Xenopus tropicalis: one gene and its partners. The protein of the gene in region 6 interacts with the protein of the main gene of each other region in a pairwise test. Links are inferred from orthologs where the notes say so. Each region holds a gene or a part of one and is shown on either strand. Other genes may lie near its edges. The genes, in order: ing3, mapkbp1, tsc22d4, efhc1, ppp1r18, tex11 and hyi.

Region 1 (4,046 bases), on a different chromosome or scaffold from region 6:
CATCTGCATCTTCCAAAGCTTTGAAGTAATCCTGCAAGTAAATAATTCACACTAAGTCAAAAATTCATATGGTGTTATGTACTAAAAGGTACTAAATTTGGCCTGGGACAGTAGCACTCAGTGATAAGTCACTAGGTAGTTTTTTTTTTTTTTTTACTGATCATCTGTTTAAACGCAGACATTTTATGGGCTGCACATGGGCAACCTTTTTATTATATATGGAAGTTTAAAAATAGGTAAAATACACACAATACATATGCAAATGTATATGACAACCAAATCTCAAACTGCCATACCTTTTTGCATGAATTATTTGTACTGTTTCCCCTCCTTAAATGTTATATTCAGCATAATGAAATACCAAACAATATATTTAATAATTTAAAGTAATAATGTAAAGAGTATGCAGCTGCCATCTTGTACTGTACAGGATCTACCAATGATACCTACTTGTAAAATTAATGTACCAAAAAAATAGTAACACCAAAAATACATGCATTTAAACGTAATGTACTGTTATCCTTCACTAGTACAAAGATAAACAGGAGACAGATGTCAGTTATGGCTCGCTACTGAACAATATACTGAAACCTCTGACATATAAAACATAATGTTGCAAATAAATTTTTATTTGGAGGTGCTTCATCAACAAATTCACAATTGAAATGAATATAAGAATATATTGTCACTTTTTGATGTTACTGGTCCTTTAAGATACATATAGCTCAGAATTTACAAGCACTATATAAAGTTATATAAGCTTATTTGTTCAAGTAAATATTAATTATTACACTTGTCAAAATATAACACATAACAAAAAATAACACCATATGCAAATAAACTGCATACATTTGAAGGGGATCTAAGCCAAAAAATAATATTTTGCCAAGTAAAGAAAATGTAATTCTAAGCAACAATTTTTTGTAAACGTTCGAAAGTTTGAAGTCGAAGTCTGACTTCTTACAGAACCTTGTGCAGTTGTCAAAAAATGTCTTGGATGTTTTAATGCATAAAAAATTGAAATGATGAATAATAAATGCAGGAGAATTAAAAGTTCAGAAACGTTCTGCAACATCTCTCAAGTGCAAAATATGTCAAGAATGAATAAAGATAAATCATTCCTTGTGTAGTCAATAAATTCAAAGTTGGATACCTCTGTATAAATAGTTTGCTACAGATACAACAAATTTTCTTTTTGCACTAACCTTTTTGATAGAAGCCATTTGTTCTTCCCTCCATTCCGGTTTATTTTTCTTAGCATTCATGAAAAACTCCCCAACCCTTTGTTCTAATTGGTCCATGGCATCTGTATTACAAAGAATCAATTACAAATTTCAAGCAACAAACCTCAAATCTTCAACCTTATCTTTACTGTGAATTTTAATATTGTATGTTGGAAGTTGATTATAAATTAACCTTAAAAGTTGTATGCCGATTTCTGATACAAGCACATCTTCATACAGTCAATATTCCACTGACACTATGTGCACAGATGGTACAACCCCACCAAAACACACAACAGATTTAGCGACTGTGCATGTAATTCAGCACCTGCTTGGACACAATTGTTTTAGAACTAATACAAACAGGGGAAAAGAGTGAGTTTTTTGTATGTTTGTTGAGGCTACCAATAGATGGCTTTCCATGAGACAGTTTAAAGCTATATATGCTATATGTCAGTTTCTCTCTTTTTTGAGAAAGGCTGGCCCTCCCTAACCCATCACCCATGAGCATAAAATAAAGTATTTGCTTGCAGACCTTACACAAACTATAGGGAACACTGCACACAGCTGCAAAATAATGATGCATGACATGTAGAACATCTTGTTTTATAGCTATATATAAGTTAAATGAACCTATTTACAAGGAAGAGGAATCAGTATCTGGAGCAAAAATAAAGTTTACTTGACAGTAATCCCTGCTGAAAGGCACAGCAGATAATGGAGCAGATGAAACCTAACAAACAGGTTTAGTACAAATTGTGCAAGGACAAAGGCACACTTTATTTCAGGTCATTATGCCTTTAATGTTCAATTCATTAACTCTAACTTAGCAATTCCAAAGGGGGCTATAGCCCTGAGCTATAGAGTGTTTCCTCCATTTTGAGTTTTCAATTATAACAAAACAATATAAACTTTATTGTGATGAACCCCTAGTGATACAAAACGAGTTTCTGAATACTATGAATCTGTGGGAAACAAACAGACACACTGTAGACTGCGTTTTATTTTACAAATCAAGATGCTGAGTATCTAATATTGCCTGCTCGACGCACCGATGTACAATACTGGGCAAGCAATTGGGATTTGTTTTGGTGCTAAAAGGGCACGTGTGAGACAGCTCAGTACTTCCTCCTAGCGACCAACCACAGCACTGCACTGGATGTACATGGTGCTTTAGCTGCTGGCGCTACCTCTGCCACCGACACAACCACATGTTTCCGGGCCTGGAGTCACCAGGCCACACACATACACCCGTTAGTCGTCGGATAAAGAGCCGAAAGCCGCTCACGTACTCTGCACCTGCAAGTCCATCTCGCGCATTTCCGTGAACCTGTCGCGCAGATCCATGGGAAGCTGCTCGATCACTGCAGAGAGACAGAAGGGAGGGGGAGAGGGCGGTTAATAGGGGGTGTTGCTGATTAAAGCCGTAGCCCTCTCTGTGGCGCACTTTGCGCCGTTCATAGCACGAAAGGCAAACTCACTCTCCAGATAATCCTCCAGGTACAACATATTTTCGATTTCACGAACGCAAAGGCCTCAGCAACGGATGACTATTTTTCCCAGACAATATGGCGCCGAGTCAGGAGCTGCAGAACAGAAAAGGAGAACAGCAGCTGCTTGGCGCATGCGCTGGCTGCTCGCACTTCCGATGTCAACGCCTTTTAATGCCGCAGGGCACTATGGGGATTGTAGTATTTTTGTCAGTTTGCGCTATACTCACTTTTGTTTTTGCTTGGCCGAGGTTCTTTAGAAGAAGAGAAACTTTAGGCTGTGGGATTAGGAGTGGTTTTTATTATTGAAGAATGGATGATTATTTTAAATATACTTTAATAAAATAATATAAAACTAGGTGGTAGTTCATCGGTGTGTAAAATGGTGGAAGAAGGGAAAGAGCCAAGATTGTTTGTAGACAATGCTCAGTGGAATAGTCAATACCACATATACCTGCTTTAGTTAGTTTCATCTTGAGCCAAATAACCTACCTGTATTTTTAGTTGTGTGAGAGGAAAATAAGTTTTGGAACACATCCACCAAGACCTAAAATGCCAGGACGTTAATTCCCTGGTCAAAATGAAACCCAGGAAACTAGAGCTGCTTTGACTTTGCATTGACAAGTGTAATTTTTACTAAATGTCATGGTACAATTCCAGCCAGGTGACATCCCTTCATTTTTGTTTGCACACGGTTGGGCCCATAGAGGCCCAGACTGGCAATGTGTGGATTCTGGCAACTGCCAGAGGGGCTGCTGTAACATGCTGTAGATAGTCACTATTTAGTGGGCTTGTGGGGGGCTGTTTGGGCCTCTGTGTACCTGAAATTCTATAGCCTATTTTGAACCCTAGTCGAGGCCTGTGCCTAAATCTAATCATTTACCTATTGTTAGTGTTATTAGGGATCAAAGATAACTAGTGTTTTGAAATCACCAATATTCAAATAATTTTATATTTTTCTATAAAAAGCAACACCCTGTATATATAGCATATAGGAAGGACAGCATTTTTTTCATAGAAAATGTAGAACTTAATAAAAATAAAATCATCTGCTATTAACTCACCACACTTAAGAACTTTCACCCCATTTTCTTATCCTGGTGATCTATTTATCAGTTGGAGCATTAGTAGGAAAATCTTAAAGAGTTACTGACACCAGAATTTAAACCATCTGTCATAACATTGTATTTGGATGCTATTTATAATGGTTTCCTTAAGAGTATTTGCCCAATGCTTTTATATTACCTATCTGATCCCACTTGATCAACATAAGAAGCTATAACAGACAAGTTGAGAAGTGACAGTCAGGTCAGCAAAACAGTCAGGCTTACTA
Region 2 (3,500 bases), about 60 Mb from region 6:
ATGATTTATTGCATTGGAACAATCCATTTGTGGGTATACTATGGCAATGATGTGTTGTGCCTCTAAAATTTGTGCTTGAAATGCAGCCAACAATTAAATACTGGTGTACAACTAAAATATAAGCCTTTTGTAGCGGGCTATAATTATATTTACAGGGTTCATATAATAATAAAACTCAAATGATTATGAACGCGGTTTCCACCCCACAGCACTCTTTACTCATTGAACAGGATAACGCTCATTATGTACCAAAATTAATTAGCACTCAAGAAAATGCAACTGGAGTTGCTGAGAGAAGAGCACCTACACCTAGTGATAATGTAGATTTTGCTTTTAATTCTATTCAAATGGGAACTATGGAAACTTTTACAGTATATTAAGTTTCTTATAACATTCAAAAATACAAAAAAAACAAAACATTCTGAAATACCTTAAAGGAGAACTTAACCTTAAAAATGAATATGACTACAAATGCCATATTATATATACTGAATTCAATGCACCAGCATAAAGGTTCAGCATCTCTATAGCCGCAATGATCCAGGTCTTCAGAGTTGTCACAGGGGGTCACTTTCCTCACAGGAGGATGACGCCGTCGCAAATCAAGCAGAAAACAAGGTTTGCCTGTCATATAATCTGATACTACAGGGTTGATTATTAAATTCTGATGCTAATTGTGCGGCTTTTGGAGCTGCTATGTAATTACTTATCAGCCTTGTATAGTGAATATTTTATTATATATAAGCTGTATATTTTTAGTCCGTCCCTAAGCTTAGGTAACTACTGTCAGCAAGATGGGGAGCTCCTGTGACAATTTTGAAAACCAAGATCATTACTGTTATAGAGATGCTGGACCTTAAGGCTGGTGCATTAAGCTCAGTATATAAAATATGGCATTTCTAGGGTTTAGTTCTCCTTTAAGAATTAATGGCATATAAACAAACTCTGAACTTCGGCCTAAAGCACTTTGAGTTCCTGCCATGCTGCTAAGCCTACAGTCATTTCACACATTAATTGGCTTTCCAACTACTCATACACACTAGGTACCTGAACTGGCCAGGCACAGCAAGGGGGGGAAATTACCACCTAGAAGAGAGGAGTGCACCGTGTGGAGCAGGAGTTTTGACAGCTCAACAACTTAACTATTTTGTATTTAATCATGATCTCTTGAAAGGAAATGAATGGCAGTTAGAACATCAGAACACCACAAGGCATATACATAAATAGCAGCATGTACTTTGATACGTCAAGTATTAGATCCATATATATTCTCATCTGCTATGTCACACCTGGCTCCTTGGATTATCTGTATCCACAAACTCCATTCCAAGCCCCTCGCTAGGCTGGAATCCAATTACGTCATCACTTGGGGCAAAGGAATCCAGTTGTCTCAAGTCAAGCATGGACTTAACAGTCATCTCAATGTTACCAGCAGGTTGGGACCAACGAACACGTTGTCTGGGCATCTTACTCAGGCAGTCTGATCTTTCCGAAGATGCGTTTGTGCCCTTAAGTAGACGATTAAAAAAAAAAAAAAAATTGGACATAAGAGCAAATATACATTTGTAACAGTGACAATGAATGTAAGAGATTGAACTTGTATAAAACAAGTAACCAAATAGAAGAACTAAAGCAGCCAGGGTGAGAAAGAAAAGTAAGATATAGAAATCCTTATGTAGCCTATAAAACACCAGCAACATGCCTGTCGAGTCTACATCCAAAGAAGCTGTAGGCATAGGATGAGTCTGTAGAGACATTACTACACTTACCCTTTTCATTTCCCAGTAAGAAAGGCTTCTTCCAAAAGAACTGGAGGCACTGGAAGTCTTATCAGACCCTACACAGCAAATGATACAATAAAAGCATTATTTAAACCATAAGTGTTATATTGAGAGAAAATGAAATAATTAAATGAAAATCGGCATTAGGGAAGGTCCTTGCCTGCCATGTCCTCATCACTGCCATCTTCCACCCCTTCTTTATCACTGTCTGATGACATTGCAGGGGCTGTAGACATAACAGCAATGGTCTCTCGCCTGTAAAAAAAAAAAAAAAAAAAGTGCTGAATTAAAAGTGAATGTTATGCTTCATGTAAACTTGATGCAACTGCCTGGAAAGTCACTATCAATGTAATTAATAAGGATGCAATGAATCCACTATTTTGGGATTAGGCCAAACCGGAATCCTTCATAAAATATTAGTCTGAGCCTAATCCAAATGCTAATTAGCATATGCAAATTAGGGCAATGATGAATGAAAAAACCGCATGTGCAGTGAGTGGTGAAAAATTTCTGTGTTTATGTGACAAAAAGGCACATGATTTTAAGGATTCCGAATCCTGGATTTGATACATCCCTAGTAAATAAAACATAAAACCACATCCACACACTGATATTCATAATCCAACATGTTTCCAACATGCTGCTTTGAGGCAGACATTTTGGAGCAAGGATTGCCCATGTATGACACAAACCTTAGGCTAAGGTACACACCACCAACCAGATCACCCAATCTGCCCCTAGCTGATGTAGTTAGTAGTGATATGTTGGTTGGACAGATTTAGTGGGTTCAGGTTAAAAAACTGGGTGACCATTGTGGGTTTGTGTTGGGTGTGGGCCAGAGAGGGAAAGTATGCTCTCTATCTGCCCCCAAAGAACTTGAGAAGTAGTGTACAGAGCAAGAACTCAGGTACGGCCTTGGTGCAGGTCAGGGTTGGGTGCGGGTTGAGTTCTTCCTGACTTGTACATAACGGGTAGTTAGCTTCACTTATGATCTGGCTAAATCCAACATCATGGTCCATTGCTGGAATAGGCATGGGTGAAGATGCCTCATGACATCACTGCAGGTCATCAGAAAGCTACAAATGATGTGCTGTACCACAAGGTATCACTATGCTTCCAATAAGTATATGAAAGAGGTGCAGTGCTGGCCACGGTGACTACTGAGAGACACTCTGAAATCATGCAGTCAATGCAGTCAAGTTCAAAGTGCTAAGAAATTGGTGAGCTGAATAAACCAGCATTGCATTTACCTTGCATTTGGCGTTTTGTGTGGTGCAGACATCTCCACTTGCTTCCCACGCTGCCTGACTTCTGCTAACCTCTGGCGCATATTAATGGTCATCTCTGAGCTCAGTCTCCAAATGAAAATGCAGCTGCAAGAATAATGCATGCTGGTTAGATGGGGTGTGACAGAGGGGGTTTTATTATTTTTTTCTCATAATGTTTTTGTCATACTTTATAAGTGTGCTTCCTTAAAACAACATCTTTTCTTGCTGCAAAGAACTCAACCATGCTGTTTTGCAATGGTTTTAAAACTGCAAATTGCTAATTTGTGCTAAAATCAGCGGATCTGTATAGGTGACATCTGTTAGCGACAGCCAAATGTGGTTGAAGCCAAGAAAAAAAAATATTTTCTGTAGAAAAATGAAATCTGTAGTTACCTCAGCGGGTTACATAAAACACTAGCACATATATGTAATAAAAAGAACTAAGTTTACC
Region 3 (4,284 bases), on a different chromosome or scaffold from region 6:
CAGGGAACTCTGAGTATCACTCATGTATTATAAGGGATAATGTACCCCCCTACTGTAAATGATAAGGATATTTAGCAGTCACTGAGGGGTTCTGTGCCCCCCATATAAAGGCACAAGGCTGCAGGCTGAGTTATACAGGGAACTCTGAGTATCACTCATGTATTATAAGGGATAATGTACCCCCTACTGTAAATGATAAGGATATTAGCAGTCACTGAGGGGTCTGTGCCCCCCATATAAAGGCACAAGGCTGCAAGGCTGAGTATATACAGGGAAACTCTGAGTATCACTCATGTAATTATAGGGATAATGTACCCCCTACTGTAAATGATAAGGATATTAGCAGTCACTGAGGGGTTCTGTGCCCCCCATATAAAGGCACAAGGCTGCAGGCTGAGTTATACAGGGAACTCTGAGTATCACTCATGTATTATAAGGGATACTGTACCCCCTACTGTAAATGATAAGGATATTAGCAGTCACTGAGGGGCTGCAGGGATATGGTATAAACATAAAGGATTGTATATTCACACTGAGGCAGCAGTGATTGGTAGAAGAGGGAGGAAGAGCTGCTGTGGGTTAAGGGATATACAGAAGAACTACATCCCATGATGCACTGTAAGGCCGGCAGTGACAGGGTGGCCAATAGAGCGTGGGGAGTCAGTGCAGGGAGTTATAGCCTGTGTTATGGTATCACATGAAAGGATAAAAGCTGAAAAACAATTCAAGGCCGGGGAATTGGCACAGCCAATCACTGCTCTCAGGCTCCCTGGCACTCATATTCTCCTTTACTGTGCGCAGCAGGGGGTTATATTTGTGCGGCTCCTGGTGGCCCCACGGTACCTTTGGCACAGAGTATGCAGGGGGCACCCAGTCAACTAGGGGCGGTTTGCCTAATGGGTCGTGGGGGTAACCCTGTAAGCCCCCGCCTAGCCAATGGGAAGTTATACGTTTTTATAGAAATGCTCAGTATTCAGCCAATCAGGTTGCAGACATTACAGCATGTGACCGTGGCACCAGTGGGCCCAATAACGCACATTATTAGCGGCCTGTGGGCCTTTGGGAAACTGGGGAAAGGTGAGATGTGCTGGAAGCTAATTCTAAGCAACTTTTCAGTTGGGCTTTATTTTTTCTGCTTTATAGTTTTTGAATGGTTTGCCTCGTTCTGAATCCGTCCGGCAGTTACATGAGGGTCGCTGACCCCCGACATCTCAAAAACAAATGTTCATCTTTGTATCCAAGCCCTCCGCTATTCCAATTCCAGCCTCTCATTCAAACCAAGGCCTGGCTGCTAGGGTAATTTGGACCCTAGCAACCAGGTAGCGGCTGAATAAAACAGCGAAATAACTCAAAAACCACAAAAAAGAAAACCAATTGCAGATGGTCTTAGAATTTCACTTCCTACATCAGGGCAAAACAACCCCCCCTGTAATGTAATGTAATGGGTGGGTGTGGCTTATTACAGCAGTGGGTGGGGCCTATTTTTCCACAGCATCCCTCTGTTTTTTCACCCCAATTCCAGCACTGAGTTTGTGGGGTTTGGGTGGATTATGGGTAGGAGTTAGTCAGACGGGAGCAGGGGGCCCCCACAGACAGGATGATGGGGGGGTCTCTCATAGGTACCAGCACATACACTGTATATATCCCAAATGCCCCAGTACAAGAATATTTCCCATCAGCCTCAGCCCCCGACTCAGTTCCAATCCAATCAGCCCCACTCTAAGTAAAGCTCCATCTCTTGCACTCACTTTCTCACTCGACTCTCTCTTACTCCTCTGTCTCTCAGGTAAGGTACAAGTCTCTCCTTACTCCCCCACTCACTCTCACACTCACTCTTACCTTCCCTCTGTGTGACTCCCCCTGGCTCCCCCACTCACTCTCACACTCACTCTTACCTTCCCTCTGTGTGACCCCTCCTGGCTCCCCCACTCACTCTCACACTCACTCTTACCTTCCCTCTGTGTGACCCCTCCTGGCTCCCCCACTCACTCTCACACTCACTCTTACCTTCCCTCTGTGTGACTCCCCCTGGCTCCCCCACTCACTCTCACACTCACTCTTACCTTCCCTCTGTGTGACTCCCCCTGGCTCCCCCACTCACTCTCACACTCACTCTTAGCTTCCCTCTGTGTGACTCCTCCTGGCTCCCCCACTCACTCTCACTCTTACCTTCCCTCTGTGTGACTCCTCCTGGCTCCCCCACTCACTCTCACACTCACTCTTACCTTCCCTCTGTGTGACCCCTCCTGGCTCCCCCACTCACTCTCACACTCACTCTTACCTTCCCTCTGTGTGACTCCCCCTGGCTCCCCCCACTCACTCTCACACTCACTCTTACCTTCCCTCTGTGTGACTCCCCCTGGCTCCCCCACTCACTCTCACACTCACTCTTACCTTCCCTCTGTGTGACTCCTCCTGGCTCCCCCACTCACTCTCACTCTTACCTTCCCTCTGTGTGACTCCTCCTGGCTCCCCCACTCACTCTCAGGGGAGATGGCTCTCACACTCAGGGATGCTCCATGCCTCACACGACTCCAGGAAACTTTCTCTCCATGCAGCTGCAGGTTTGTGAGTCTCTCAGTTCATGTTCTGTGGCCTGAAACAGTCTCTCCCTCTCTCTCCCTCTCTCTCTCGCAGTCTCTCCCTCTCTCTCCCTCTCTCTCCCTCTCTCTCTCGCAGTCTCTCCCTCCTTCCCTCCCTCCTTACTCAGCCTGTTGACATCTCCTGTGTCAGGAAGTCCAACCTCTTGTATCTGTCGCCTCTCACTGCCTCCTTCTGCCTCTCTGCCCTCCTCCTTCTGCCTCTCTGCCCTCCTCCTTCTGCCTCTCTGCCCTCCTCCTTCTGCCTCTCTGCCCTCCTCCTTCTGCCTCTCTGCCCTCCTCCTTCTGCCTCTCTGCCCTCCTCCTTCTGCCTCTCTGCCCTCCTCCTTCTGCCTCTCTGCCCTCCTCCTTCTGCCTCTCTGCCCTCCTCCTCCCCTCACTCTCCCATTCACACTTCCCTCAGCCCCAGTACAAGTTTCACCCCCAACCTTCTCTGCACCCCTATTGTACTTACCCTATACCCCCTACTCTGTGTATCCCCCCCCCCCCAGCCTATTGTACTTACCCTATACCCCTACTCTGTGTATCCCCTCCCCAGCCTATTGTACTTACCCTATACTCCCCTACTCTGTGTATCCCCTCCCCAGCCTATTGTACTTACCCTATACTCCCCTACTCTGTGTATCCCTCCCCAGCCTATTGTACTTACCCTATACTCCCCTACTCTGTGTATCCCCCCCCCAGCCTATTGTACTTACCCTATACTCCCCTACTCTGTGTATCCCCTCCCCAGCCTATTGTACTTACCCTATACTCCCCTACTCTGTGTATCCCCTCCCCAGCCTATTGTACTTACCCTATACTCCCCTACTCTGTGTATCCCCTCCCCAGCCTATTGTACTTACCCTATACTCCCCTACTCTGTGTATCCCCTCCCCAGCCTATTGTACTTACCCTATACTCCCCTACTCTGTGTATCCCCTCCCCAGCCTATTGTACTTACCCTATACTCCCCTACTCTGTGTATCCCCTCCCCAGCCTATTGTACTTACCCTATACTCCCCTACTCTGTGTATCCCCTCCCCAGCCTATTGTACTTACCCTATACCCCTACTCTGTGTATCCCCCCCCAGCCTATTGTACTTACCCTATACTCCCCTACTCTGTGTATCCCCTCCCCAGCCTATTGTACTTACCCTATACTCCCCTACTCTGTGTATCCCCTCCCAGCCTATTGTACTTACCCTATACTCCCCTACTCTGTGTATCCCCTCCCCAGCCTATTGTACTTACCCTATACCCCTACTCTGTGTATCCCTCCCCCAGCCTATTGTACTTACCCTATACTCCCTACTCTGTGTATCCCCCCCCCCCTATTGTACTTACCCTATACCCGTACTCTGTGTATCCCCCCCCCCAGCCTATTGTACTTACCCTATACCCCTACTATCCTACTCCTGTGTGTATACCCCCCCAGCCTATTGTACTTACCCTATACCCCCTACTCTGTGTATCCCCCCCCAGCCTATTGTACTTACCCTATACCCTACTCTGTGTATCCCCTCCCCAGCCTATTGTACTTACCTATACCCCTACTCTGTGTATCCCCCCCCCCCCAGCCTATTGTACTTACCCTATACCCCTACTCTGTGTATCCCCCCCCCAGCCTATTGTACTTACCCTATACCCCCTACTCTGTGTATCCCCCCCCCCAGCCTATTGTACTTACCCTGTACCCCCTACT
Region 4 (3,500 bases), on a different chromosome or scaffold from region 6:
AACCCAGCCTCAGACTATAAATGCCCCTTTGCCTCCACTAGGAGCCCTTCAAAACTGCCCCCCGTTATACTATGGAGTTCCATAAGTGCTGATGAAGGAGTTAAACGTATAAACTGGAAAAGACTAAATCAAGTTTAGATGTAGGTGGAGATTAACAGGTCAGCCTGGTCAATAACTGATAAGCTCAACCAAAACAGGGAAAGTTAAAGACCAAAACCCGGAGCAAAACTGAGAAAACAACCCCAGGAAAAACAGAACGAGGAAGAGGAACCGGGTACAGAACAGAACTGCAACAAGGACAAGAATCAAGGTGTTTGTTAGACCCATCTCACTTGGGGGAGGAAACAGAGCAAGAAGATTCTACTAAGTAGGGCACTAACTAATGAGGAGCTTCAATATATGTTTGAAAATCATATATAATCCCAAAGCGCTGCAGGACCCTCTAACTGCTAGTAACATGAGTGTCTTATCAGCAGTTTTGCTGTCCTTGAAGCCACATCTCTAGGGCCTTGAGCACGTTGACATCTACTAACTTTTTTTAGATCCCAAAAATCCCTAAAAGAGCAAGCGTGGGTAGGCCTAAACCTGGTCCACAAGTGCACTTCACTTCCATCTCAGAGCTCACCTTGTTTGGGCAATACAACACTCTACTGAACTTCTAAAAAATGTTGTTACCATCTGTAGATGTTCCCCCAAACCCCACGACCATCATCAAACATGCCCTCTTGAGTTCTAAAATGCATGGATTGCGCCTGTGAAATGTACTCATAGCTTGGTGGCAATATCAGAAGAACGTCAGTAGAAGCCTACATCATACCTGGACTTGGTGGTAATATCAGAAGTAAATCAGTAGAAGCCTACACCCTACGTGGACTTGGTGGTAATATCAGAAGTAAATCAGCAGAAGCCTACACCCTACCTGGACTTGGTGGCAATATCAGAAGTAAATCAGTAGAAGCCTACACCCTACCTGGACTTGGTGGCAATATCAGAAGTAAATCTGTAGAAGCCTACAACCTACCTGGACTTGGTGGCAATATCAGAAGAACATTAGTAGAAGCCTACACCCTACCTGGACTTTGTGGCAATATCAGAAGTACATCAGCCTACACCCTACCTGGACTTGGTGGCAATATCAGAAGTAAATCAGTAGAAGCCTACACCCTACCTGGACTTGGTGGCAATATCAGAAGTAAATCAGTAGAAGCCTACACCCTACGTGGACTTGGTGGTAATATCAGAAGTAAATCAGTAGAAGCCTACACCCTACCTGGACTTGGTGGTAATATAAGAAGTAAATCAGTAGAAGCCTACACCCTACCTGGACTTGGTGGTAATATCAGAAGTAAATCAGTAGAAGCCTACAGCCTACCTGGACTTGGTGGTAATATCAGAAGTAAATCAGTAGAAGCCTACACCCTACGTGGACTTGGTGGTAATATCAGAAGTAAATCAGTAGAAGCCTACACCCTACCTGGACTTGGTGGTAATATCAGAAGTAAATCAGTAGAAGCCTACAGCCTACCTGGACTTGGTGGTAATATCAGAAGTAAATCAGTAGAAGCCTACACCCTACGTGGACTTGGTGGTAATATCAGAAGTAAATCAGTAGAAGCCTACACCCTACCTGGACTTGGTGGTAATATCAGAAGTAAATCAGTAGAAGCCTACAGCCTACCTGGATGACCTTCTCTTCCTCATCTTCTCTCTCCTTGTTAACCTCAACAGGCTGAAGGTCTCCGATCCCCATTTTATCTCTGTAGAAGTCTCGAGTGTAGGCATCACAGTCATAGATAAAGAACTTGCGTCCTAGAATACTAATGTGCTTTCCTACTTTGAAATCTCCAGGGGAAAACCATTCCTTCACCTCTTGGTCTGAGATCTCCAGCACACACATTGGGAAGGTGTCTGGTCAACGCAAACATGGAGGGTCAGAAACACAGAAACAACAATAACCTAATAACGAGTCATTGTTTTTTTAGCATTTCCATATACAGTCGGCTATTAGACCCGCCCTATCTGAACAAATTGTTCCACACCCCTTCCAACACCATCAATACTTTCAATAAGTAGGACACTTTACTTGATATAACACATGTTTGGGTGTTGGATTATAAGAAAATTATATGTAGAAACCTCTTGGAGGACCACGTCCATCTCTTGGGTCTCCAGTGGAAGAGTATGGCCAACCAGCATATACAACAACCTCACACTATAGGTCTGAAATAACCCACCATTCCTTAGCTAGCTTTCTAGAGCTTCCTTGAGATATGTGTTCTAAGCCAAATTAATCTAAGGGTGGTGGTGGAAGCATATTGGGACCCAGAGCTTCTCCTTGGGTTCCCAGAAATGAGGTTCCCAACCCCATACCTTGCAGTTCCCTACCCCAGTAGGTAGTCTTACCTTTTGTATCATTCACCACTTTAGGTAAGTGTTGGCGTTTCATCAACACTGGGAATGGGTCGCGTCCATCGTTTCGCTCATGCACTTCCCTGATTTCCACTGTGTCGTCAGACAGGTAGTAGTGAATGAGCACCGGGTGCTTCTCTCCAAACATGCTCTCCGTGTCGTCCCACACAGCAAAGAAGCGCAGAACCTGCAGAGGGAGTCAAGGAGTTTTATTCTGGTTTTATTGGGTTAGAAGGTCCATACTTATATCGCATTGTGTATATATGACCACTAGGGGTGCTGTTCCCTTGGTCTTTAGGTGGGCACACAAGCGAGGCTACAGGTTCAAGACCAGAGTGACCTAGATTATTGACGCCCTCGGACTCACCTTACGGTCCATAGTGAGGTACTGCTTGAGCTTATCGAAGTCGGATGGGGTGACGAATGTGCGATTGGGCCTCCTCCTCAGTTCAGTAAATGGGTCTGTAGGGATGCCCTCTGGGGGGTTCAGCTCGATGCCCTCGCTCTCCAGGAATTCCTGCCCACGCCAAGCAAGAGATTCTTGTTAATCAAAAACATTAGCAATATGGTTCCTACAGGTTGTAGGGCGCGTGAAGCGCGTCAGGTGATAATTTGATTTGCCTTTATGCAAAGTAAACTGTTTCCTATCTATTCAGCTGTTGTTAGGAAACTGGGGGACAATTTTTCCCTTTCATATTGGGGTCCAAGGCTTCCTGCAATGGCCAGACTCCCCCCAACTCTCTTTATGGCCAATGGAACAAAGGTACCTGTGTGAAACTGTCACAGCTGATAAGGCGGAAGGTTCGGCCGTACAAAGTGACGTTGATCCCCACATTTAGATCCTTCCAGTGATAGGGATCCCCGTTTGCATTCTTGGGGTGTCTTTGGCGCTTGATAAATGTTCCTTGGGGGATGCCGGAATTTTCCATAGGTGGCTCTATCACTGATATAGTGTCATCTTCCAGATAGTAATACAGCGTGACTCTGCGCACTCGGTAGTGCTCCTCCGGGGACAGGGGGACAGTCTCTTGGAAGTAACCCTCAAACCTGAGCACCTGAAAGATTATGGAGAATGAATCACTTACTGGCAA
Region 5 (4,255 bases), about 31 Mb from region 6:
AGTAATGACAGGAAAATAATTTCATACAGCTAAAAAAGAAAGTTACACTTAAAAAGTCAAATGACATATAAAGAAGCATGTGTAGAGTTCATTAGAGAGGAAGAGAAAGAGGAAGAGAAAGAGGATACGCAGAATAAAAAGAGAAATAAGCATGGGGGTAAGAAAAGGCTGAAATACACTGTTAGAGGGCTTAATTAAATGTATGGACAAAACAATTCTGCAATGTTTTATACAAAATAAGGGTCTAGATAATGTAACTAAGGTTCTGAAAGTATTTTCAGTATAAGGCATTACAATTTTGAATTAAAATTTAAAACTGTTTAGTATCAACCTTTATACATCTGTTTTTCTCATGGTACAAACAAAATCTTACAGATTATAATTGTCTGGTCTTCAAGTTGGGAAACTCTTCAGATACAGATCTGTGGAACAATTGGAGCAACCAAATTAAAATGAGGAGGATGGAATTGTCTAGACTGACAGATAGCCATACTGCTGAACCAGACAAAGAAATGTAAAACATACATTCTGAAAAGGGAGAAAAAGCAAAATAGGAGAACTAGATACAAATAATTCAGACATGCCTGCAAGAGATGAGTGGGCAAACAGGAAAGAGGGAGATGCACTGACAGTTCTACAGAAAACGGAGGAGATGTACATCGCTAAGGTTTAGGAGATTCATGGAAGGTAAAGACAAAAGCAAAAAAATAGGCAGCTGCATACACAGCAGTACTTTCTATGCACCGAGTAAAATAGATTTAAACAGTGAGAAGGATGTTAAGTCTATATATTTGTTTGTCTATGTATGTATGTAGGAGACTGTATATTATCGCACAAATAACACTAAAGTATGAAAATATACTGCATAACCTGTGTTGTAGCGATTGGTGAGGATTTAAACAAAAGGTAAATCAGAGTATGTTCTTCTCTCAAAAAATACTTACTAGAGTGGGAATCACACTTTATAGTGGCACCAAAGAAATAGAATAGAGGACAAGTTGGTGGAAGATATGAAGTGAGAGTGCGCAAAAGTGATCTCATTGTACTTGTATGCACATATGAAATGACATGCAGAAACCCACAGGATATAGTCAGATATGTTACATACCTTTATTGTGAGTAAGCAGGCACAATCCCCTCTAATACATCCTATAGCCCAGCAGGATGCCTTGATGTTAGGAGAAGTGAACTGATGTCTGGAGCAGTTTCCTTTGTTAAACTTAAACCCAAAAACATAAGAATATGTAGCGTTTCTCTGTGGAAAGTCCCAAAGCGTCACACGTCTTCAAGTGAGCCCAATTCCTTCAGACCCTTAAAGCAAATACAGATGTACAATGTAAAGACTAGGGACTTATAGCTTGGGCAACCTTTGCATTGGAGAGGAATTCCCAGAGAGTGAAAGAGAAGGGTGTGTAGGAAGAAGGGATTGAATCAGACAGAAGGAGAGAGGGGGGTGGAGGGTGAGGTTCCAGCTATGCATAATGCTAAGAGTAAAGGGGGAGGGTGGAGAGAGGAAGGATGGTGGGGGGAGATACTACAGACAAGTTAACCCTTACATAGCACTGTACTTTTTTCTATTGACATCGGTAAGGCAAATGGGCTTTGTTTTAAGAAAATGCTGGGATTTTTAGTTTTTAAAAAATCATTTTAATGCCCTATTGTGAAAAAAAGCAAAGACTGCTCTTAAATATCCACTACAAGACACACACAGACATTCTGTATTTTTTATACTCAAGATACTAAATCAGTACAACGTACACACAACAGTGGGGGACAGGATGGGACTAATGGAAAAAAATACTAAGCAACAGCACATGACAGATTATTTATGCTTTAACATAAATATCCTAAACAGTAAGAAGTTTTAGCTTTTTGGATGTTTGTTTTGAGTTTAATAACATACTACTAAGGCAAATTGTGCATGAAATAAGAGCTACCTCATGTATTATATTTTATACTATTTATATGGACGGACACAACACAATACAATACATATGTAAAACTTAATGCAGAGTGCTTCAGTTATGCGTGGTTAGGGTGAATTTACAGACTGAACACTAGAAAGCCACACAAAGTATAAGAAACTGAACCATAGGCAACAGTTACACAAAGCTGGTTTTTGGTCTGTGTATAAATGCAGGCCAAGAAACAGATGAACCACTCACCTGCACACAAAGTGAATTTCAGCACAGAAAAGTGTCAATATGCATTTTCACACTGAAATCTGCTCTGTGACTGTACACAGGCTGAAGCAGTGCTTATTAGCACAGATACCAGACCAGGCTGATTTGAGTGGTTGAGCTGCTACTTGCATCTGCATTTATATGCAGCCAGAGTTGGACTAACTCTGTGGGCTTCCACGACCCAGACATGATCTCCTTTCCCTGATCGTGTTGAGGTATAATGTAAGCACACTTGGGAGGGATGGAGTTGGTCTGTGGTGCCCCTGGAGGGGGTGTGGAGGCCACTGCTGAGGCCCCTGGGGCGGCAAACTAATGGGCCCTGCACAACCCAGTCTGACCCAGTATGCAGCCCAAAAAACAGCTACATGTGATCATAGCCTTAGCCATTGGCATTTATTTTGTGTATAACCTGATCATTCAGCATAATGCATTTGGGCTTGTGCGCCATGCTACAAGGTTTTTAGCAATCCTATTTAGGGAAAATATAATCCATCACAATCTGAACATACTTCTTACTCCAAGTATTTTTATCCTGTAGTTATATAGCGCTGACCTATTTTGCAGTACATTTATGGAATGCGATATTTGGAAATCTTTTTATTTTGAAAGTTCTGAAATACAGGAAGCCCACCACCCATAGACTCCATTATAAGAAAATAATTCTATTTTTTTTTTAAATGATTTCCTTTTTCTCTGTAGTAATAAAACAGTACCTTGTACTTCATCCCAACTAAGATATAATTAATTCTTATTGGACACAATACAATCAATACAAGTACCTTTTTTAGTCGATTTAAGGTATGGAAATCTAAATTGTGGAAAGATCTCTTATCTGGAAAACTACGAGCATTCTGTATAACAGGTCCCATACTTGTACTTTACAGAGATTACATACTATATTATATACTTTTGCATCAGGCCCTGCCCCTTTTGAAGCTTACAATCTAGGGTCCCTATCACATTCACACACACTATGATCAGTTTTATAAAGGAGCCAGTTAACATTCCTGTGTATAGATATAGATAAAGCTATGGTCATTGCTATTAGCTGCAGTACTCTTCCCTTAACCAGATCAATAGGCATTGTGTACATCAGTGCTGTCCAACTGGCACAACCGCACTCTATACTAGAATTAAGCCAAATTTGTAGTTTAAAGAAATGCTGTCATGAGGAACCATGTTTTTTTTTTTCAAAATGCATGTTAATGAAACTTCTCCAGCTGAATCCTGCATTGTAATCCATTTTTTAAAAATACAGGATTTTTTTTTTTATATTTAATTTTAAAATTTCACATGGGGCTAGCCATATTCTTAATTTCCCAGGGTGCTACAGCCATGTGACCTGTGCACTGATAAACTTCGGTCACACTTTACAGCTGAGCTGCAACTTGGAGTGATATCATCCCACTCCCAGCAGCTGATCATCAGAACAATGGGAAGGTAGCAAGATAGCAGCTCCCAGTAGATATCAGAATAACACTCAATAGTAAGAAATCCAAGTCCAGCTTGAGACTCCTCCAGTTACATGGGAGTAAAAGAAACAATAGGTTACCTGAAAGCAGTTCTAATGTGTAGCACTGGCTCCTTCTAAAAGCTCAGACTCCGGCACAATGCACTGAGATGGCTGCCTACACATCAATATTACAATAAAAAAAAACCCCAAAACATTTGTTGGTTCAAGAATAAAATTTTAACTGGTAAGAGTGGATTATGCGCTATGTAAACAGTGTAATTTAGAAATAAAAAGTACACCATAAAAATCATGACAGTATTCCTTTAATAACCAGAATTTCAGCTCTTAAAGATACCAGGAGCAAATTTTTTTTGCCAGCCCTGGTGCAGGGCAACTGCCACCCGAGTCAAGATTCTCACCTTGCCCGACGGTAGCAGTGTCCTTGTATGTAGGACATTTGATGCTCGACTTTACAGCACTCAATGAATAAGTGCCAAGTTGGACATTACTTTGCCAATTAATTCGGTGGGTCAGTGCAACTTGATCTTGGACACCACTTTGCCAATCAATTTTGTGGGCATTACTTTGCCAGTTATGTGCATTACCAGCCTTCAACTGC
Region 6 (4,213 bases):
TCTATGGGGGCACTCGGGGGCACTGTGTATTAGGGGTACTGTCTATGGGGGCACTGTGAATGGGGGGTACTGTCTATGGGGGCAATTTGGGGCACTGTGTATGGGGGGTACTGTCTATGGGGGCAATTGGGGCACTGTGTATGGGGGTACTGTCTATGGGGGCAGTTGGGGGCACTGTGTATGGGGGCAATTGGGGGCACTGTGCATGGGGGGTACTATCTATTGGGCCTTTGGGGGCACTGTGTATGGGGAGGCAAAACTGGTAGATAGTTATAACTCACTTATAACTCTCAACTGACTGCCTTCTCTCTATATTTGTATTTTATATGTAGTTGCTATATTGCTTTCCTTAAGTAGTACAGTATGAGGGTATAGCACACTTGCGGTGGTAGTTGGGGCGTGGCCACAAAAGTAGGCGTGGTCAAAAATTTGCTGCGCTGCACGCCAAATCTTTTTGTCCCTCTTTTAATTTTTCAAATGTTGGGGGGTATGCAGATGCAAGAGCACCAAGTAGTACAAAATCATATTAATTTACACATCTCTTGCATCCAGAGCACTGTTGTACTCTGCATTTTGCTTAGGATTAAAAATGTATTACAGGCCAAAGGTGGGCTGCCATAAGGGAAGAATGTGTGCTTATTTGTCAGTGTTTACAAGTATATTTTATTTCATTTTAAAAAAAGCAATAAATGTCAAGCAATGGGACCATTTTTATACATGAATGTTACCTGTTATTCTTTTCAAAGACGACCCATCCTCCATTTTCATCAATCAACCAAAACCTCTAGAGAAAGAAATTCATTTAGCAGATTATAGAGCCCAGGAGTACATTATTATGCGCACAGAGAAACATTACAGGGGTTATACATTAGTCACATTAATCTGTGCCCCAGTGGAGTTTACAGTTTAAGGTCCCTAGTTTTCAGGTATGCTGAAGGTATTAACTGAGGCACTGCCCATATCTCCCAGAGTCACAGTTGTTTGACAGACGGTCTAGAGGCCTGAAAAAGGGAAGGGGTTTTTCAACAAATAATGGGTTAAAGGAAGATTTGGGAGTGTTGGGTGTAGCTGAGTGTGGCTAGGATGAGCCAGGTGTGGGACTAATTTGGTCTGCATTTGGAAATTTAAATGTTGGGAGTTATACTGAATAAGTCACATGTAAATATGTTTTTTACTTTTTAGGGAGGTTAAGCTGCCCTAAATCTTTATTTTTGTCCATTTATGCTAGATATCTTCAGGGCAGCAGGATGTCTGTTGACACACTTGAAACATCTGTCTGCTGTGATATCTTACTCACTGATCTGTTATAACAACTAAGGGTGTATGAATGTATGGGGGATGTAAGGGGGGTGAAGGGCCCACCGGGGGGGCAGGCCCCCCAACCCCCCTCGCAGGGCCCCCCACCCGACGTCCTACCCCGAGAGCGTAAATTTAACACGTCAGGGGAGGAGTGGTCGGGTAGGTGGAGCGCTGCAAGAGTCGGGTCTGGGCCGTCGGGGCCCACCGGGATTTTTCCGACCCTGTATGTGAATAAAGTTGTAAAGATTCTGTGAATGTGGCTTTAAATAAATGGTTCCTGACTTCATCTATAAGTGCTGTGTGGATCTCCAGTTTATTCCACTGTGGTATTGACAGGGATAAATCATTACCCTCCCAACAACCATTTACTTCACCAGTTGCAAATCAGTTGCATCCAGCGCCGGATTTGTGTTCCGTGTGCCCCTAGGCCGCCCCCCCTCTCCTCCCCGAGCGCGCATGTGCGAACTCCACACCCCCCCCCCCGGCAGCGATTGCGCATGCGCAAATAGTTCAACTCCAATACGGAGCAGTGGGGAAAGGTCCCCATTTCTCCCTATGGGTGCAAAATTAAAAAATTTTGTTGCGGCGGGGTGGCATGCTGCCCCTAAATTTCTGCCTCCCTAGGCCCGGGCCTTTGTTGCCTCTCCACAAATCTGGTCCTGGTTGCATCTGTAGGTACAACAAGCTAAAGCCATAAAAGTAAAACCTTTCGTCACCACATGGTAATGCCCCATATAATTCATTAAATCAGGCTGAATCAATGCATTTTCACTTGTGCATTAGGCTGATGGCAGACGAGGCATAGGGCGGATATTTTCGTGAAGTGAAAACGAGGTTTGTACGATATTATCGGTGTGTGTATGGCCGGTTTAAGGGTAATAGGCATGGCAAAATGCAGCGCTATCTCATGAGGGAGATAATAATCCAGTCCCGGTGTTTTTAGGCCTTCACGCTTAATGATAACATGAAATAAGGTCTCAAAAAGGCCTGAAATTGCTTATTATCTCCCTCATGACATGGGGTTGGGTTATTTTCTGCAATTCGCTGGGGGGGCAATTCCAGTGTTTCATCTCTCTACACCTCATGACTGAGCTTGAAAGGCCCTGTCTGCTATTATATCTTATAATACACAAACCCTTATATAAATTCACAACGGCATGTATATTCTCCCTCTCACACATATATGCATAAAATATTTTGTTTGTATAATCCTCTCACACTAGAATTGCCACATTCTGGAAAACAATTACCAGTCTCCCTATGTTTGTATGTTTTGCCAGGCGGGCAGGTGGCAACACTACCTCTCACACACAGGCACAGATATTATAAAACTGTCACACACATGCACAAACACACACATTTGCATTCACAAGTTATACACCATCCATACGGACTGACAGATTCTCACATATCTACACAAACAGGAAGAGAACCTGCTCTCTATACCTGAGGGGATTCCCTGCTCTCTATATCTGAGGGGATTCCCTGCTCTGATTCTCCTCACAGCTGCTTATTAAGGAAGGGGCGGAGCTAAGTCCCAGCCACAGAACCACACAGTAAAACAGGGTTACTCAGAGTGAATAGCCCAGCAGGCTGGGCCCATTACAGCAAGATTGAAGCCTTACTTAATTTAAGCTTTTTTTTTCCTACAGAAATGCTCAAATAAAGAAAGACAAAAGCATATTTCTTACTATGAGGGATAATATTTATGTAGGCAAGGAGTAGACTGAGCATGTTCACTGTGAAGGGAGTGACATCTGGAAAATCTTCATGTCTGCTTTATAGTATCACAGAACAGCAAAACAAAGCAATGGCATGAACAGATTAAAAAAAATTTCACTGTGACCTTCACTGCGACCTTGTCTTTCTATTTGTCAATATGTAATATATGTCAATAGGGATAATGTCTCCTCTGTCAACTGTCTAATATTTCTATTTCAAATTGAAATCATGGAGTCTGAACTATGTTAGTAAGAACAGGATTACATGAGTCCATATACACAGGTCCCTATATATAGGGGCTAGGGCTACATTTATTTCAGCATGCTTTGCACTTACATTGCCTCCAATATAGTCTGGCAACTTCATTTTGAGCCTCAATTCTGGGTTTGTTTAGAGAATGATTAAGCTGTACAATATAATGCTGCGCAGTGACAGTGTAACAAAGTTCTTTCTATGGGACTGCCATCCATGTGCACCATTTTATTTAGCACTATTATGAGTAGTAGAATGGTGTCAAGTATGATTGTCAAGGACGTTGTTGCTATCCTTTAGGGCTCTGGCACACGGGGAGATTAGTCGCCTGCGACAAATCTCCCGTGTCTCGGGCAACTAATCTCCCCGAAATGCCATCCCACCAGCGAAAATGTAAGTCGCCGGTGGGATGGCATACGTGGCATACTGAAATCACGCCACCGCGTATGCCATCCCACCAGCGATTTACATTTTCGCCGGTGGGATGGCAATCCGGGGAGATTAGTCGCCCGCGAACAGGGAGTTTTGTTGCGGGCGACTAATCTCCCCGTGTGCCAGAGCCCTAAGGGTGAAAACACAGTGAGCTACTAGTAGCAGCTACTTTCATGTTTACTTAACTCCAGAAATGACCTTGCCATAGACAATATTTAGAACTGCTTCCGCTAAAACACACATAAAGACAATTATCAGTAAATGATTAGCATTGTCTATTTTAGTAGCCACAACAAGTAGCTGCTACTAGTAGCTCCATGTGTCTTCACATTGGTCATTGGCACACATAGAGATTGCAACAAATCTCCCTGCAATGCCATCCCACCGGCTAGAATGTAAATCGCCAGTGGAATGGCATACGCGTCGCTGCAATGTCCCGAAGTCGCCTGAAGTTGTCTTGAGAGGAAACTTCGGGATATTGCAGCAAGCGTATACCATCCCATCGGCG
Region 7 (4,110 bases), on a different chromosome or scaffold from region 6:
TATTTACTGATATACAGTATGTATTCCCTTATGTTAAGGCCACTTAACATAATATAAACCATCTGTTGGTTAAGTATTCATTCTGGGGGTATAGTTTTCATTTAAAGAACCCAAGTCATAAAGGTTCTATGATGAGCAATATTATTGATAAAGTCTTGCACAGTACTACTCTTATTTCCTATATGGGATTCTCTTATGCAGTGTATAAGTAAATGGAGAATGACTCAGATTTTTTTTGTTAAATGTTGCAGTTTTCATAAGTTAAGTCTAAAAAATTTTCGTGATTTTTCCCACGTGGACTTTTTTATTGCAGATTTCTTAGTTAATATAAGACATTCATGGAAACAAGTTTGTTAGTTTTTGCAAATCTGCCCCCACAACTTGGAAGGAAGAATGCAATGTTCTATGATGAGTTTATTCTATTGCTGTCTAGGCAAATATTTCCATGACAAAATGTAAGGATATTTCAGCGAGGTAGACACTACTATTGTAAGAAAAACTTGGCCCAACTGATTCTTTTGCTTTACCGACTTACCATGTTGAGGTGTGTTCAGGAAATAGCGAGGTTCACTGATTAGGGAGTTTATAGGTTCCAGAAGTCCCACCATTCCAGCCTGTGTGAATATTTTATTTGAAGTTATAAACATATTTTACTCGCTTTATATACTATAAAATATATATCCAAAACTCACACACCTGTGCAAGGATGTCTGCTGCATACTGGAGGTTTTCAATAAATGTCTCCTCCATCTCTTCCTCAATATTTTGTCGTTCCAAACCAAGTGGCACTCGTCCTGCCATGATATGAATTCTAAAACATAACAAAGAGAGTTAATTTTATAAGACATCCACTCTGGCATACGCAAAACTATAATATAAATCGAAGCTATGCTTTCAGAATAAATACTTAACCAACAGATAATGTATCATAAAAAGCGGCCGATTATACTATCTCACCATATTACTATTAAGTAAATATTGCCCTTTTACATCTTTTGCATTGAGCCACCATTTTGTGATGGTCTTACTGTAAATTGTTCTTACTTGTGCAGCAACCTACAGCTATTAGTAGTATTTTATTTTTTAGCCAGCTGGAGAAAGTACAATGAAAGCAAATGCTGCCCAGGTGCAAATTTGCCCAGTATTCATAAATGAGTTCCCCACTGTGTTATGCTGCACTCTGTGTTAAATGCATCAAGAATAAATCCTATGACACCTAAGTGTTATAATCAACCCATGGCCAATCATTTGTATAGGTATTTGAATTCCAATGTGATTTCTAATATTACATTTTGGGAGTACATTAACAAGGGATAACTGAAATAGATGAATTTACTGTAGGTATGTGACCTGAATAGATAGATAGAGCGTTCTCTAAAAGAGATTATACAGTCTATACAATCAGTTTAAAATATTTTCTTGAATTTGCAACTCTGTGACAACAGAGAGGGGCAAATACAGGAATATATTTCTCTGTACTCTTCAATAGATATGTAATCTACAGTATGGTATTTAATAAGCATTAGCATGTACCTGTCACATCCTAAATCACTGGCCCACCTGACAGCTTCATTGAGACCTGTTCGGAATTCATCTTGCCTGCCAGGCACAGCAGCAAGGCCAAGTTCACCAGCTTCTATGTTACCTGCACACAGAGAATATATTCAGTCCAGTTGTCTGACAGATACATGTCCATTTGCAGGACTCACGTGACAGTTGCTGTCAAAGCACTTATTATAAGATCATGTGTACAAGCATTGCTGGTACTGTGTGTAGCTTCCGAATGAACTTATGTTACATGTGAAAGTCTATGTGAAAAGTCTGTGTTACCAAAATAAAATCATATTTCATTGGTGAACATATCATTAACGTGTATGGATGTCTGCATTAAAAGAAAGCAGATCTGTGACTAATAATTAGAAGATGGTGCTAGAACAGGAATGCAGAAATTAAAGTAATTAGCATTACTTTAATGAAAAGTAATTAGAGGAGGTGAGGAAGGCCACTACCCCCCCCCCCCACACTTGTCACCTGGGGCACAGTTGGGCACTTGCCTTGGGGACTTGGTCCGGCACTGCATAAATTATTCATATATAGTCATATTTTGACAGGACCTTTAGATTGTAAGGTCTATTGAGCAAGGACATTCTTTTCCTCTCCTATTGATTAATATTTGTATCTAATTTGTTTGATGCATAGACCTTGCATACACCCCAGTGCTGCAGTATATGTTAGCTTTACCTTTTAGTACAATGTAGTGAACTTATGAGAATTTTCAGTTGGTCTTCATTTTTTATTACTTGTGGTTTTTTATTTATCTTTTTGTTTAGCCACTCTCCAGTTTGTAATTCCAGCACCTAATTGGTTGCTAGGGGACAATTTATCTTAGCAACCAGGCTGGAATATGAATAGGAAATGTCTGAACTGAGAGAAAAGTAATAAAAATAACAATACAACTCGCAGATAGTTTCTTGGCCAGTTACTACAGAAGTGCATCTAAATTAGAATATTCGGGACACAGTACAACGCGAAGGCGCCTTCCAACCCAGGGGCTAGGTGATCTAAAGCTATTCAGTACAATATGATTAAAGCCAATTGTACCTGGTGGGGTGTTGAGTAGGACCAGACTAGTGTTGTGATTGTTTAGTGCCGCCTTAAAAAGAGTCCTATCGGAAGCGTAGGGCCAGGCCACCTCAACCGCTCGGAAGCCGCTCTGAGACGCAGCCTCAATACGGCCCGGAAAATCAGGCACGTCCTGAAACAGCCAAGAAATATTGGCCGAAAAATGCATGGTATTCACCGGGAAACTTCGCTATATTGCAGCCCGAAAGCAAGGCGGTATTACAGGCAAAGAGAGGCCGAGGATACGCCCACCGTGCTAGATCGGGAGCAGGAGGCAGGCGGGGTGTGCAGGCACAGGGGTAATGGAAGTCTGAGTCTTTTCCGGACACGGCCTGTTAAAGGAACAGTAACACAAAAAAATAACTTTAAACATATCAGTCTTTTTAAAACTAAACTTAAAGACTACCTTTTGGAGCACTCACCCAGCACTTGATCTGGGAACTGGCACTTATATTGTAATGTCACCCACTGTGACCTATAGCACTTACATTTGCCCATTTGTGTCTGTTAGTTACCCTCCCATATAGATTGTAAGCTCTACGGGGCAGGGACCTCCTTCATCTTGTGTTTCTGACTCTTATTGCAACTGTACCTTGTATTTATTGTATTTATTGTTGTACTTTGTATTTATCCATTATCTATAACCCCCTGTTTGTATTAATGTATTCTACTGTACAGCGCTGCGTACATTAGTAGTGCTTTATAAATAAAGATATACATACATACATATCCATTCTAAATATTTTATTAATATATGTAGCGTTTAAAAAAAATGCAATATTCTACAGGGTTTTAAAATAAATCACATTACCAGTACTTTACTGTGCAGAGCTTGAAAGGGCGACTTCCGGTTTAATCCGGAAGTTAAATGCCGCATTCTTCAGAGTCTGTTGTGAGTGATTTATGGGCTGTTAGCAGTTGGGGCATGGAGAGGGAGAGGAGAGGGATCAAAGACATACCGTTCCTTCTGTCCAGCTAAGTCTGCATCGCTGTTTGAAGTAGCGCTGTGTGTGCCTGCATTAGGAGAGGAAGGGGGGTGGAGGGGGGAGTTGAACGGAAGCGTGGTGCAAGACTTGGGAGTAAACGGCAGCCTGTTCTCTATAAATCAATGCTAAAGTAAGATTTCTAAAAAAAACACTGCTGCTATTGAAATTTCTGTATGATATATTTGATAATCAAAGTGTATAGAAGGGATATTTTGAATGTTAAAAAATTGTGTTACAGTTCCTTTAACTTCGCAGGAATGGGCACCGTTGTGATTAATGAAACACTCGCCTGTTACTGAGTAACTTTTTAGGGGGCAAACAGAAGTGTAACCAGCCATGGGAAGTGTTTGGCCGCTCTTTAGCAAGGCTGCCAGCTTGGCATTTCTGCTGCCCCACCTGTTCTGCTCTAAATAACACTGACAGTGTGCAACTCGCTCTACAGGTACGGGGCGCCCTGCGGCCTCCACAGTTGCCGGTATTATGGGACGTGGAGATTCCATTT

The links.
Region 1: the proteins of tex11 (region 6) and ing3 interact in a two-hybrid assay, tested with the Homo sapiens proteins (2 studies listed by BioGRID). The two-hybrid records come from large-scale screens. The link is inferred for Xenopus tropicalis from reciprocal best matches to the Homo sapiens genes TEX11 and ING3.
Region 2: the proteins of tex11 (region 6) and mapkbp1 interact in binary tests that used the Homo sapiens proteins (3 or more experiments, as listed by UniProt). The two-hybrid records come from large-scale screens. The link is inferred for Xenopus tropicalis from reciprocal best matches to the Homo sapiens genes TEX11 and MAPKBP1.
Region 3: the proteins of tex11 (region 6) and tsc22d4 interact in a two-hybrid assay, tested with the Homo sapiens proteins (2 studies listed by BioGRID and IntAct). The two-hybrid records come from large-scale screens. The link is inferred for Xenopus tropicalis from reciprocal best matches to the Homo sapiens genes TEX11 and TSC22D4.
Region 4: the proteins of tex11 (region 6) and efhc1 interact in binary tests that used the Homo sapiens proteins (3 or more experiments, as listed by UniProt). The two-hybrid records come from large-scale screens. The link is inferred for Xenopus tropicalis from reciprocal best matches to the Homo sapiens genes TEX11 and EFHC1.
Region 5: the proteins of tex11 (region 6) and ppp1r18 interact in binary tests that used the Homo sapiens proteins (3 or more experiments, as listed by UniProt). The two-hybrid records come from large-scale screens. The link is inferred for Xenopus tropicalis from reciprocal best matches to the Homo sapiens genes TEX11 and PPP1R18.
Region 7: the proteins of tex11 (region 6) and hyi interact in binary tests that used the Homo sapiens proteins (3 or more experiments, as listed by UniProt). The two-hybrid records come from large-scale screens. The link is inferred for Xenopus tropicalis from reciprocal best matches to the Homo sapiens genes TEX11 and HYI.

The regions. Positions count from the first base shown.
Region 1 is NC_030679.2:69,340,354-69,344,399, reverse strand, and holds the start of ing3 (inhibitor of growth protein 3), read right to left. Parts: upstream 2,801-4,046; 5' UTR 2,733-2,800; coding exon 2,705-2,732; intron 2,588-2,704; coding exon 2,516-2,587; intron 2,465-2,515; exon of another isoform or gene 1,417-2,464; intron 1,307-1,416; coding exon 1,206-1,306; intron 32-1,205; coding exon 1-31. UniProt on the Homo sapiens protein: Component of the NuA4 histone acetyltransferase (HAT) complex which is involved in transcriptional activation of select genes principally by acetylation of nucleosomal histones H4 and H2A.
Region 2 is NC_030684.2:105,038,432-105,041,931, forward strand, and holds part of mapkbp1 (mitogen-activated protein kinase-binding protein 1), read right to left. Parts: intron 3,155-3,500; coding exon 3,032-3,154; intron 2,037-3,031; coding exon 1,942-2,036; intron 1,838-1,941; coding exon 1,770-1,837; intron 1,509-1,769; coding exon 1,290-1,508; intron 1-1,289. UniProt on the Homo sapiens protein: Negative regulator of NOD2 function. It down-regulates NOD2-induced processes such as activation of NF-kappa-B signaling, IL8 secretion and antibacterial response. Involved in JNK signaling pathway.
Region 3 is NC_030679.2:151,477,036-151,481,319, reverse strand, and holds the start of tsc22d4 (TSC22 domain family protein 4), read right to left. Parts: upstream 2,801-4,284; 5' UTR 2,707-2,800; intron 2,682-2,706; exon of another isoform or gene 2,445-2,681; intron 2,278-2,444; exon of another isoform or gene 2,170-2,277; intron 2,087-2,169; exon of another isoform or gene 1,840-2,086; intron 1-1,839.
Region 4 is NC_030681.2:150,471,709-150,475,208, reverse strand, and holds part of efhc1 (EF-hand domain-containing protein 1), read right to left. Parts: intron 3,465-3,500; coding exon 3,177-3,464; intron 2,927-3,176; coding exon 2,777-2,926; intron 2,597-2,776; coding exon 2,404-2,596; intron 1,909-2,403; coding exon 1,679-1,908; intron 1-1,678. UniProt on the Homo sapiens protein: Microtubule inner protein (MIP) part of the dynein-decorated doublet microtubules (DMTs) in cilia axoneme, which is required for motile cilia beating.
Region 5 is NC_030684.2:75,522,123-75,526,377, forward strand, and holds the start of ppp1r18 (phostensin), read right to left. Parts: upstream 2,801-4,255; 5' UTR 1,109-2,800; intron 1,067-1,108; exon of another isoform or gene 945-1,066; intron 423-944; exon of another isoform or gene 374-422; intron 1-373.
Region 6 is NC_030684.2:44,770,251-44,774,463, reverse strand, and holds the start of tex11 (testis-expressed protein 11), read right to left. Parts: upstream 2,801-4,213; 5' UTR 2,746-2,800; intron 785-2,745; 5' UTR 769-784; coding exon 729-768; intron 1-728. UniProt on the Homo sapiens protein: Regulator of crossing-over during meiosis. Involved in initiation and/or maintenance of chromosome synapsis and formation of crossovers.
Region 7 is NC_030680.2:88,658,968-88,663,077, forward strand, and holds the start of hyi (putative hydroxypyruvate isomerase), read right to left. Parts: upstream 2,801-4,110; 5' UTR 2,792-2,800; coding exon 2,602-2,791; intron 1,646-2,601; coding exon 1,534-1,645; intron 812-1,533; coding exon 697-811; intron 615-696; coding exon 536-614; intron 1-535. UniProt on the Homo sapiens protein: Catalyzes the reversible isomerization between hydroxypyruvate and 2-hydroxy-3-oxopropanoate (also termed tartronate semialdehyde).